2 linked regions of the Cricetulus griseus genome follow. The protein of the gene in region 2 interacts with the protein of the main gene of each other region in a pairwise test. Links are inferred from orthologs where the notes say so. Each region holds a gene or a part of one and is shown on either strand. Other genes may lie near its edges. The genes, in order: Cuta and Fblim1.

Region 1 (3,448 bases), on a different chromosome or scaffold from region 2:
GGGTCTCTAGCCCAGACTGACTTCAGACTCACGGCAGCCCTTCTGCCTCCAGCGCTGGGATTACAGGCACGAGCCACCCTCATCGGTCGGGCCTGTCTGGTCTTACTGTTGTCTTCTCTCTTCCAGGTCACCCCTGGAACTCCACATTGGCTTCCCCACCGACATCCCTAAAAGTTCTCCCCACTCAATGGCTGCCTCATCCTCCTCAGCCCCAGCTCCCATCCCAGGCCTTTCCAGACACTCAGTGCCCCCTTCTCCCTTGTGCCATAGTCTGTCTCCAGGGACCGGGGGAGGAGTCCGAGGTGGGGTTGGCTACCTGTCTCGAGGGGACCCTGTCAGGGTCCTCGCTCGGAGGGTGCGGCCCGACGGCTCTGTGCAGTACCTAGTTGAGTGGGGAGGAGGGGGCATCTTCTGACAGCCCTCTCCTGCCCACCTCCCCGTCCACACACTGGCACTTTCATGCCCTGACCTCTGACCTCACCTACAGCTGGGATGTACCTGGAGAGATAGGGAGTAGTTCTCCCTACTGCCCAGGCTGGAATCCAGGGGAGTGGGGAAGTCCTCCTCTCTGCCCCTTCATGACCCCTGACCCTCATCCTTCTCATTTCCTTTGATGTTATTTTGTTACAGCTTTTAAAATATTTTTAAAACTATTTAACCCCTGGGTATAGAGATGGGGGTGGTGGTCCAGGATTCCAGACTCTGTATGACTGTAATAAAGAGAAATAAACAAACCTAGTAGACACGGGTCATTCTGAGGACAGAATACAAGAATCTTCACCAACCACATCTACGTTACAAGGGAAAGGAGGATTTATTGGGGACTCAGTCACCATCACCTGGAAACCGGAGGGCATTAAGCAGAGGAGGGGGTGGTGCCAGAATCTGAAACTGACTCTGTAACCTGGCGCACCCAATGCAGGTATGGGGGGTTTCCCTGCTCCACAGGCAAGGCAATCACCTCAGCAACTTCGTAAGGGTGCACAGACCTGCAGAAGTGACAGGGCTGGGGTTATTCAGTCAGTCACCCAAAGGCACACGCCCCCACTCAACAGTCCGGGACCTTCCCAGCAAGGTCCACCCCAGTGCTCTTTTAGTGAGCGGGGGGTTATATAACACGCGGTGCTTGCCTGAAATGCTCGAGTCCCTGCTTCATCCCCCAGTGCCACCACAAAAGGAACCCTTAAAGCTCTTACCGAACGAACTCTGTCAGAGCAGGGACCAGGGAGCTCTGGGTTTTAATCATCTAAAGGGCAAAGACAGACATAGTTCAACCAAGGGGTGGAGCTGACGTCAGGTGAGGGCTAGGGTCGTCCAAGGAGACAGACAAGAGGGGGATCTTCTCACCATCAGCACCTCACTGTCTTCCTCGATCTTTCCTTTCCATTCGTAGCTGGAGAGATCAGAGAGAAGGGAACAAAGTCTTGGGAAAGAAAGACCCCCCCCCTGAAAATGCTGTCAGCCCCTGCAGTTAGATGAAGTTTGTGGCTGACGACTCACATGGAGGAGATCTGCGGGACGAGGTTGACGCAGGCTGCCAGGCGCTTCTCTACCACGGCCCTGAGGGTGAGGGTGGATCGGGAGCCCGCTCAGAGTGCGCCCAGCCTGGAGCCACGCTGGCAGCCCCGAGCCCGCTCCCGGGCCGCGCGCAGCCCCTGGCCCAGCTCTGCCCTGCAGCTGCCCACCTGGCGATCTCCCTGGCGACTTTCTCGTTGGGACAAGTGACGAAGGCCGCAGAAACTGACCCTGGGACGTAGCCGGAGCCCGAGGCCGGGGAGGACTGGGGCGGAGGGCTTGCAGAAGCCATTGACAGCCAGGCCCGGGGGAGCAGGAGAAGGCGGGAAGCCGCCGGCAGCAGCGCGGGCATCCACAGCAGCGACAGGAGCAGCGTGGCCTGGGCGCAGGGGCGGACTCAGCGTCCCCACCAGTGCCCCCGGGAGGAAAAAGCCCCGCGCCCGCCCTCCCCGCCCTCGGGAATCTCGGGGTACTGAACCCGGGGAAACTTGGAGACCGGAAGGGGCGGGGCCAGACTCACCCCTCCGCCGAGCAGGACGACGGGCGCCCGCCCCCAGCTCATGCAGGCGGGGCTGGTGGAGTGAGGGAGCAGACAGACAGACACACACACACAGACAGACAGATCTCAGGCCGCCCGCTCGCCCTCGCGCGCCTCTCGGGGGACGCGCCCGGCCCGGGGCGGCCGCCGCCTCTTACCTGCGCGGCAGCCACGTGACGGCAGCGGCCTGGCCTGCCCAGATCCGGCCAATCCCGGCCCTCCTCCCGAGGGGGCGGGGCCGACGGCCCGCTGGCCAATCGACAACCAGCACTGAGGACGTGCGCGGAAGTGGCCCGCCCATTTCCGTGAAGCCCTTCGCGCGCGGCCGGCGGGGAGGGGGCGGGGCCGCTGCGGCGGCGGCCGTCACGTGACGGCCCTCGTCCTCTCACGCGGCGCCGCCTCAGGAGCGGCGGGCGGAGGCCAATCGGCGGCCAGCCTCGCGGGCCACGTGACGCCGTGGCTGCCTCAGGCCGGGCCCGGAATGTGCCTAGTAACAGTCCCTCCCCCTCCTCCTCCTGCTCCGCCTCCTCCTCCGCCCCGCCCCGCCCCGCGTTAGCGCCCCGCCCCTCTAGCCCGCCGTCCCCGCTGTCCCCGGGTGTGAGCCGCGGCTGGCCGAGGAGTGGCCCCGTAAATGGGCCCGGGAGACAGGCGGTGGGAGGCCGGGAGCCCAGGCCTAGCCGGGCTCCCTGCCCGTGAGACCAGGGCACACGAGGTGGCAGGCCAGGGCTGGCGTGGGCCCCGCGCGAGCCTGTCCCCAGGAGCGGCCCACCCTCAGTCTTGGCTCGCCTTACCTTCATCCGCCCCCCAGAACCAGGACCTGCCCTACATAACCTCCCTGGGGCCCACACACACCCAGTGACCCAAAAATGGAGAGGGGGCCAGTGAGAGGTCAGGGAAGGGAGGAGGCGGCGCGGCGGGGTGACGCTCTGCCTCCTAAATGTCACCCCTGTGTCAGCGCCAGGGCCCGGGGTCCCTGGCGTGGTTGGCTGGGATTTCCCCAGGCTGAGTTCAGGCTCTTCCAGGTCCCTGTAGAGTTGGGGGCGGCCTCCCGGTCCCAGAGAGATCCCTGTGTGTGTGTGTGTAGGGAGGGGGTCCGATATTTGGGGTTTTATAGCTGGGGTCCGAGTTATCTTTGGAGTGGTTTCTGCGACTTGAGTCCAGTGATCACCCACTAAGACCTCTCAGGTTCAGTGAGTTTCACGTCGCTTGTGGTCCCCTCTCTCCATCTGTGGGTCAGCCGAATGTGCCCCTCACCCCCAAGTGTGCAGCTTGTTTTCTCTGACATACGAATGAATCTGGGGCTTCTCATCTCTGGCTAGGTCCTAACATGTAATTCTGGCCTGGGGCTCTTTCTAATACTGGTTTCCCTTTTCGTCTAGGTCTATGTTTTGGGTC
Region 2 (3,903 bases):
GAAAGGGACACAGGGGAAGCCTCTAGAGGTGGCAGCTACTGTAGCGACTGTCTTTGTCACTCCACACTGGCAGGAAGAACCAAGTGGAAAAGGCTGGTGACAGAGGGAGAGAAGGCTGTTAAAGGGGTGTGGGGCTCAGTTGTGGAGGAAGAGGATGGAGATAAGCACCCCCACTCTGATGTCTTAGTGGGGTGGTCCCTTCAGCAGTAACCGCAGGACCGCTGTGAGGAGTGGATTGGCTGTGGGCTGCAGAAGGGGACCCAATCCTGCCTGGCTGCCCCTGTCCCAGCGATGACTCTGGGTCCAGCTCTCCCCTGTCCCCTCCCCTATTGTGGCTTTAATCAAAAGAACAATCTGCTCGCCTGGGAATCAGACCCAGATTCCGTTCCCCAGCAATGTCCTGAGGCCTCTAGGGACCTGTGCAGCCCAGCCCCAAGCCAGGCCCCAGGCCCCAGGGCTCTGCTTCTTCAGGGGCCAGTAACAGGGCCAGGAAGCAAACAGGTGGCATGATTGTCTGCTCCTGGTCTCCTGTTGGGGCCTCCTCCCCACCGTAGGACCTGAGACCCACTTGTGGAAGGATTAATAGGCTCTGGCAGGCACTGACAGCTCAGGACAGCATACCCAGGTGACTTGCCTCACTGAGGTCTCTGGGGCCCCTGCCCCAGGCATTCCTTGAAAAAGCCCATGACCCCAGCCTATGCGAGTCCCGGATTCTCTTAGCATTATCGCTTTAACTCCAAGCCAAGTTGCAGAGGTGGGCAGTAGGGACTCCCTTTTAGGGATTGAAGAACCCGAGGTTTAGGGAGATAGGGTAACAGTCCCAAGTCATGCGTCTAGCCTCACTCAGGACCCTGAAGGATCTCAGAGCCAAACGGGATGTAAGTACCCCTCCCCACCAGATGGGGCAGGTGGGGCTGCTCATCCAGGTGACCTAGGGGGAAGGTGACCAAAGATCCCCCGGTGCACAGTGGGGAGGGGTCGACGGAGGAGGCGGAGCCACGGGAAGGGGGGAGGAGTGGCGGGAAACAAAAGGAGGGGGCGCGGCTGCAGGTGGGGGGGCAGGTAGGGCGAGCCCGCGCCCCCTCCCCGAGCGTCACCTTTTATGGTAAGGCGCGCGGGGCGGCAGGGCGGAGGGAGGCCGGGGCGGGAGCGAGGGGCGGAGGCGCAGCGCCAGCGGAGGCCGGAGCATGGGGCACGCAGCAGGTAAGTGGGCTCAGCGTGGGGGTCCCAGCCTTGCGCCCCAGGCAGGGACACCCGCAGGTGGCCGCACGGGCAACTCTCATCCACGGCGCTGGCCCCAGCCTGGCGCTGCTGGGGGGTTCGGGGCGGGTACTATCCCTGTGTTCTCTTGTGCCTGTGTGTCCCAGGATCTCAGCCTTTAAAAACTCCGGAGGTTGAGTGCGGGACGGTGCGGTGGGTTCTTGTCCCTGCGCTGAAGTGGAACGGGCTAGCAGGGCGGAAGCTCCTGCACAAAGACGACAGCGTTCCGCACATGGGTTGAATTATAATTGCCGCTGTGACCCGGCCAGCTGCCCCGCTCCGCTGCTGCTCCAGGGCGAGCTCGCGAGTGTGTGTGTGTGGGTGGGGGGGGGTCCCGAGCTCCCACGGCCTTGGAGCCCTGTTCCCAGCTCCAGTTAGGGGACGGGAAGGAAGGGGTCTCCTGGCAGGGTGTGAGAATGAGCGATCCCCAAGGTGTGTGCAGCTACTCCCCCTTCTCTAGCCCAGACCTGAGGTCCCAGGGGAGAGACTGGGCAGCGCCCAGATTCCTGCTCTCAACAATAGAGACCACTGTCCTCCAGCCCCAGGGCTCCGCCTGCCCTCTGGGGCTGAATGACCAGAGCTGGTCTCCTCGAAGCCCCCTCCAGGGCTATTCACTTGATGACTAAACTACCAAGCCCAGAGACGCTGGGTGACTGCAGCAAGGTCACCCAGTAGGAGCCGTGGCCGGGGAGGAGGCAGCTCTGTGCGTCTTCCTCCTCTGGAGCAGGAGAGAGGATGAGAGACCCTTACTTTTTGAGACTTCCAGGTGTCTTGTGGGAGTGAGTGGGGACACACACCCTCCTCCCCGCCTCCAGCAAAGTTTAATTCTGGCTCCAAACTTAGATTGCTTTGTGGGGCTGTGTGAAAGAAAGAACGATGCTTAGAAGTGACTCGGAGGAAAGAACTAGGAACGAGGGGACTACTCCTGGCAGCCAGCACATCCCTTCCCAGGGGCTGTAGCCTAAAGCCGGCCTGGCTGGCTGGCCGGCTCTCAGCCTTCTTCCTTCCTTTTGACAGGAAATGACTTTCCTTCCCTTTGTTCCCACTTTCTCCGCTTACCCGACTGGATCTGGGTGTCTGATTTGCCCTCGGGGGAGGAAGGATGGGGGTGGAGGGTCGGCTGGGAAGTAGTCATACTGCGCCTCCCCCCTCTCCAGGGTGAACTCTGGGGCAGTGAGACCAGAGGGAAGAGCCAGCAGGCTCTCCTTACGGGACCTGACAGGGCTCTGAAAATCCCCAGCGCTGCTCCATCCACGGCCCGCCCGAGGTCCCCTCTGCTGCTTGTCACCGATAGGGGCGGGTATGGCTGCCCAGCTGTGAACATCTGGCCTCCATGCTGGACGTTTCAGAGAAAGCAGGCAGAATGGAGCGGGATCAGACTAGCGGGGAGGAGGTGGGGAGCGTTAGGAAGAGCCACAGCCTGTCCCAGGGGACCCGCCTAGAATGTGTTGACCGCAAGAAACTGGTCTGGGTTGGGTCGTTTGGGGGAAGGGGAGGGACTTGAGGTGGGGGAGGAGACTTGTACAGTCCAGGGAAGAAAAAGTTCAAGGATGCCCGTGGACTTCCAGGTTGCACTCTTCTCTGATAGCATTCCAAGTCTGCTGGAGGACCAGTCTGGTTGGGACTGTGTGACAGAGCCTCTCCCTACAGCTGAGGTGTGAGGTCTGAGCTCTTGACTTTGTAAATGTCTGTTAAGGTTTCTGTTTTAATTCTGAAGACCAAAACTTACAAAACAAGTTCTATTTATGGGGCTGGGGTTGAACTCATGGAAATCCTCCTGCCTCAGCCTCCTGGGTGCTGAGATTACAGGTGTGTATTATCATTTCTGGCTTAAAAATACTTTCGAAGGATCTCTCTGTGTAGCCCTGGCTGTCTTGAACTCACCATGTAGACCAGGCTGGCCTCATACTCACAGAGATCCGCCTGCCTCTGCCTCTCTCTGCCTCTGCCACTAGAGTGCTAGGATTAAAAGTGTGCGGCTCGTACAGTGCCTGGTGCCCCTAGAGCTATTTTATAGTATTTTTTTCTCTGTCAGCCAACAGGAGAGTCCATGTGGGCTGATGCTCCTTGAGAATCAGAGGCAAATCTGTGAGTGACCATGTGGGATCCACCTCTGCCGTTAGAGTGACCCCTCAACGGTCCAGCCCCACTGCTTGAGACTAACCAAATTCCTCCCCAAGTGCTCATGACTGGGCTTCAGTTGCATCATGGTGGCCCATACAGAAAGAGGAAGGGAGATAAAGGACACATTTTTAGCCAGGTGTGCTATAGTTGGGTGCCAGGGAGGACTTCGGTGGCCAGTTCACCCCCAGTGACCCGCCTAGACCTCAGCCCCAGAGGCTTCTATGCCCTTCCCAACATGGCGGTACTTCCTCTGCACAGATCTCTGCTTCCATACCTGCTTCTGTGAGCTGCTGTCTGGCTCCTGATGCAGACAGCTGAAGACAGGCAAGGTTACCCGAGGGGATCAGACACATGGATAGTGAGCCATCGGTACTATGAGGATCTGTTCTTATCCTGAGGAAGCCACAGATTGCCCCAGGGTGGGAGTCAAGGGAGGCTTTGTAGAGGACAGGTGAAGTCTGAACTGGGTCTCAGAGAGCTGAAATTAACTCCTTAAGAACAGAAAGGGGAAAAAAGACT

What was found.
Region 1: the proteins of Fblim1 (region 2) and Cuta interact in binary tests that used the Homo sapiens proteins (3 or more experiments, as listed by UniProt). The two-hybrid records come from large-scale screens. The link is inferred for Cricetulus griseus from reciprocal best matches to the Homo sapiens genes FBLIM1 and CUTA.

Annotation. Positions count from the first base shown.
Region 1 is NW_023276806.1:232,136,475-232,139,922, forward strand, and holds Cuta (protein CutA), read right to left. Parts: upstream 2,276-3,448; 5' UTR 2,212-2,275; intron 2,088-2,211; 5' UTR 2,078-2,087; coding exon 2,036-2,077; intron 1,895-2,035; coding exon 1,686-1,894; intron 1,561-1,685; coding exon 1,501-1,560; intron 1,424-1,500; coding exon 1,348-1,423; intron 1,247-1,347; coding exon 1,197-1,246; intron 990-1,196; coding exon 857-989; 3' UTR 792-856; downstream 1-791. Other genes in the region: Phf1 (PHD finger protein 1), read left to right, coding at 127-415. UniProt on the Homo sapiens protein: May form part of a complex of membrane proteins attached to acetylcholinesterase (AChE).
Region 2 is NC_048595.1:11,653,512-11,657,414, forward strand, and holds the start of Fblim1 (filamin-binding LIM protein 1), read left to right. Parts: upstream 1-1,142; 5' UTR 1,143-1,203; exon of another isoform or gene 1,204-2,713; intron 2,714-2,785; exon of another isoform or gene 2,786-2,922; intron 2,923-2,941; exon of another isoform or gene 2,942-3,069; intron 3,070-3,903. UniProt on the Homo sapiens protein: Serves as an anchoring site for cell-ECM adhesion proteins and filamin-containing actin filaments. Is implicated in cell shape modulation (spreading) and motility.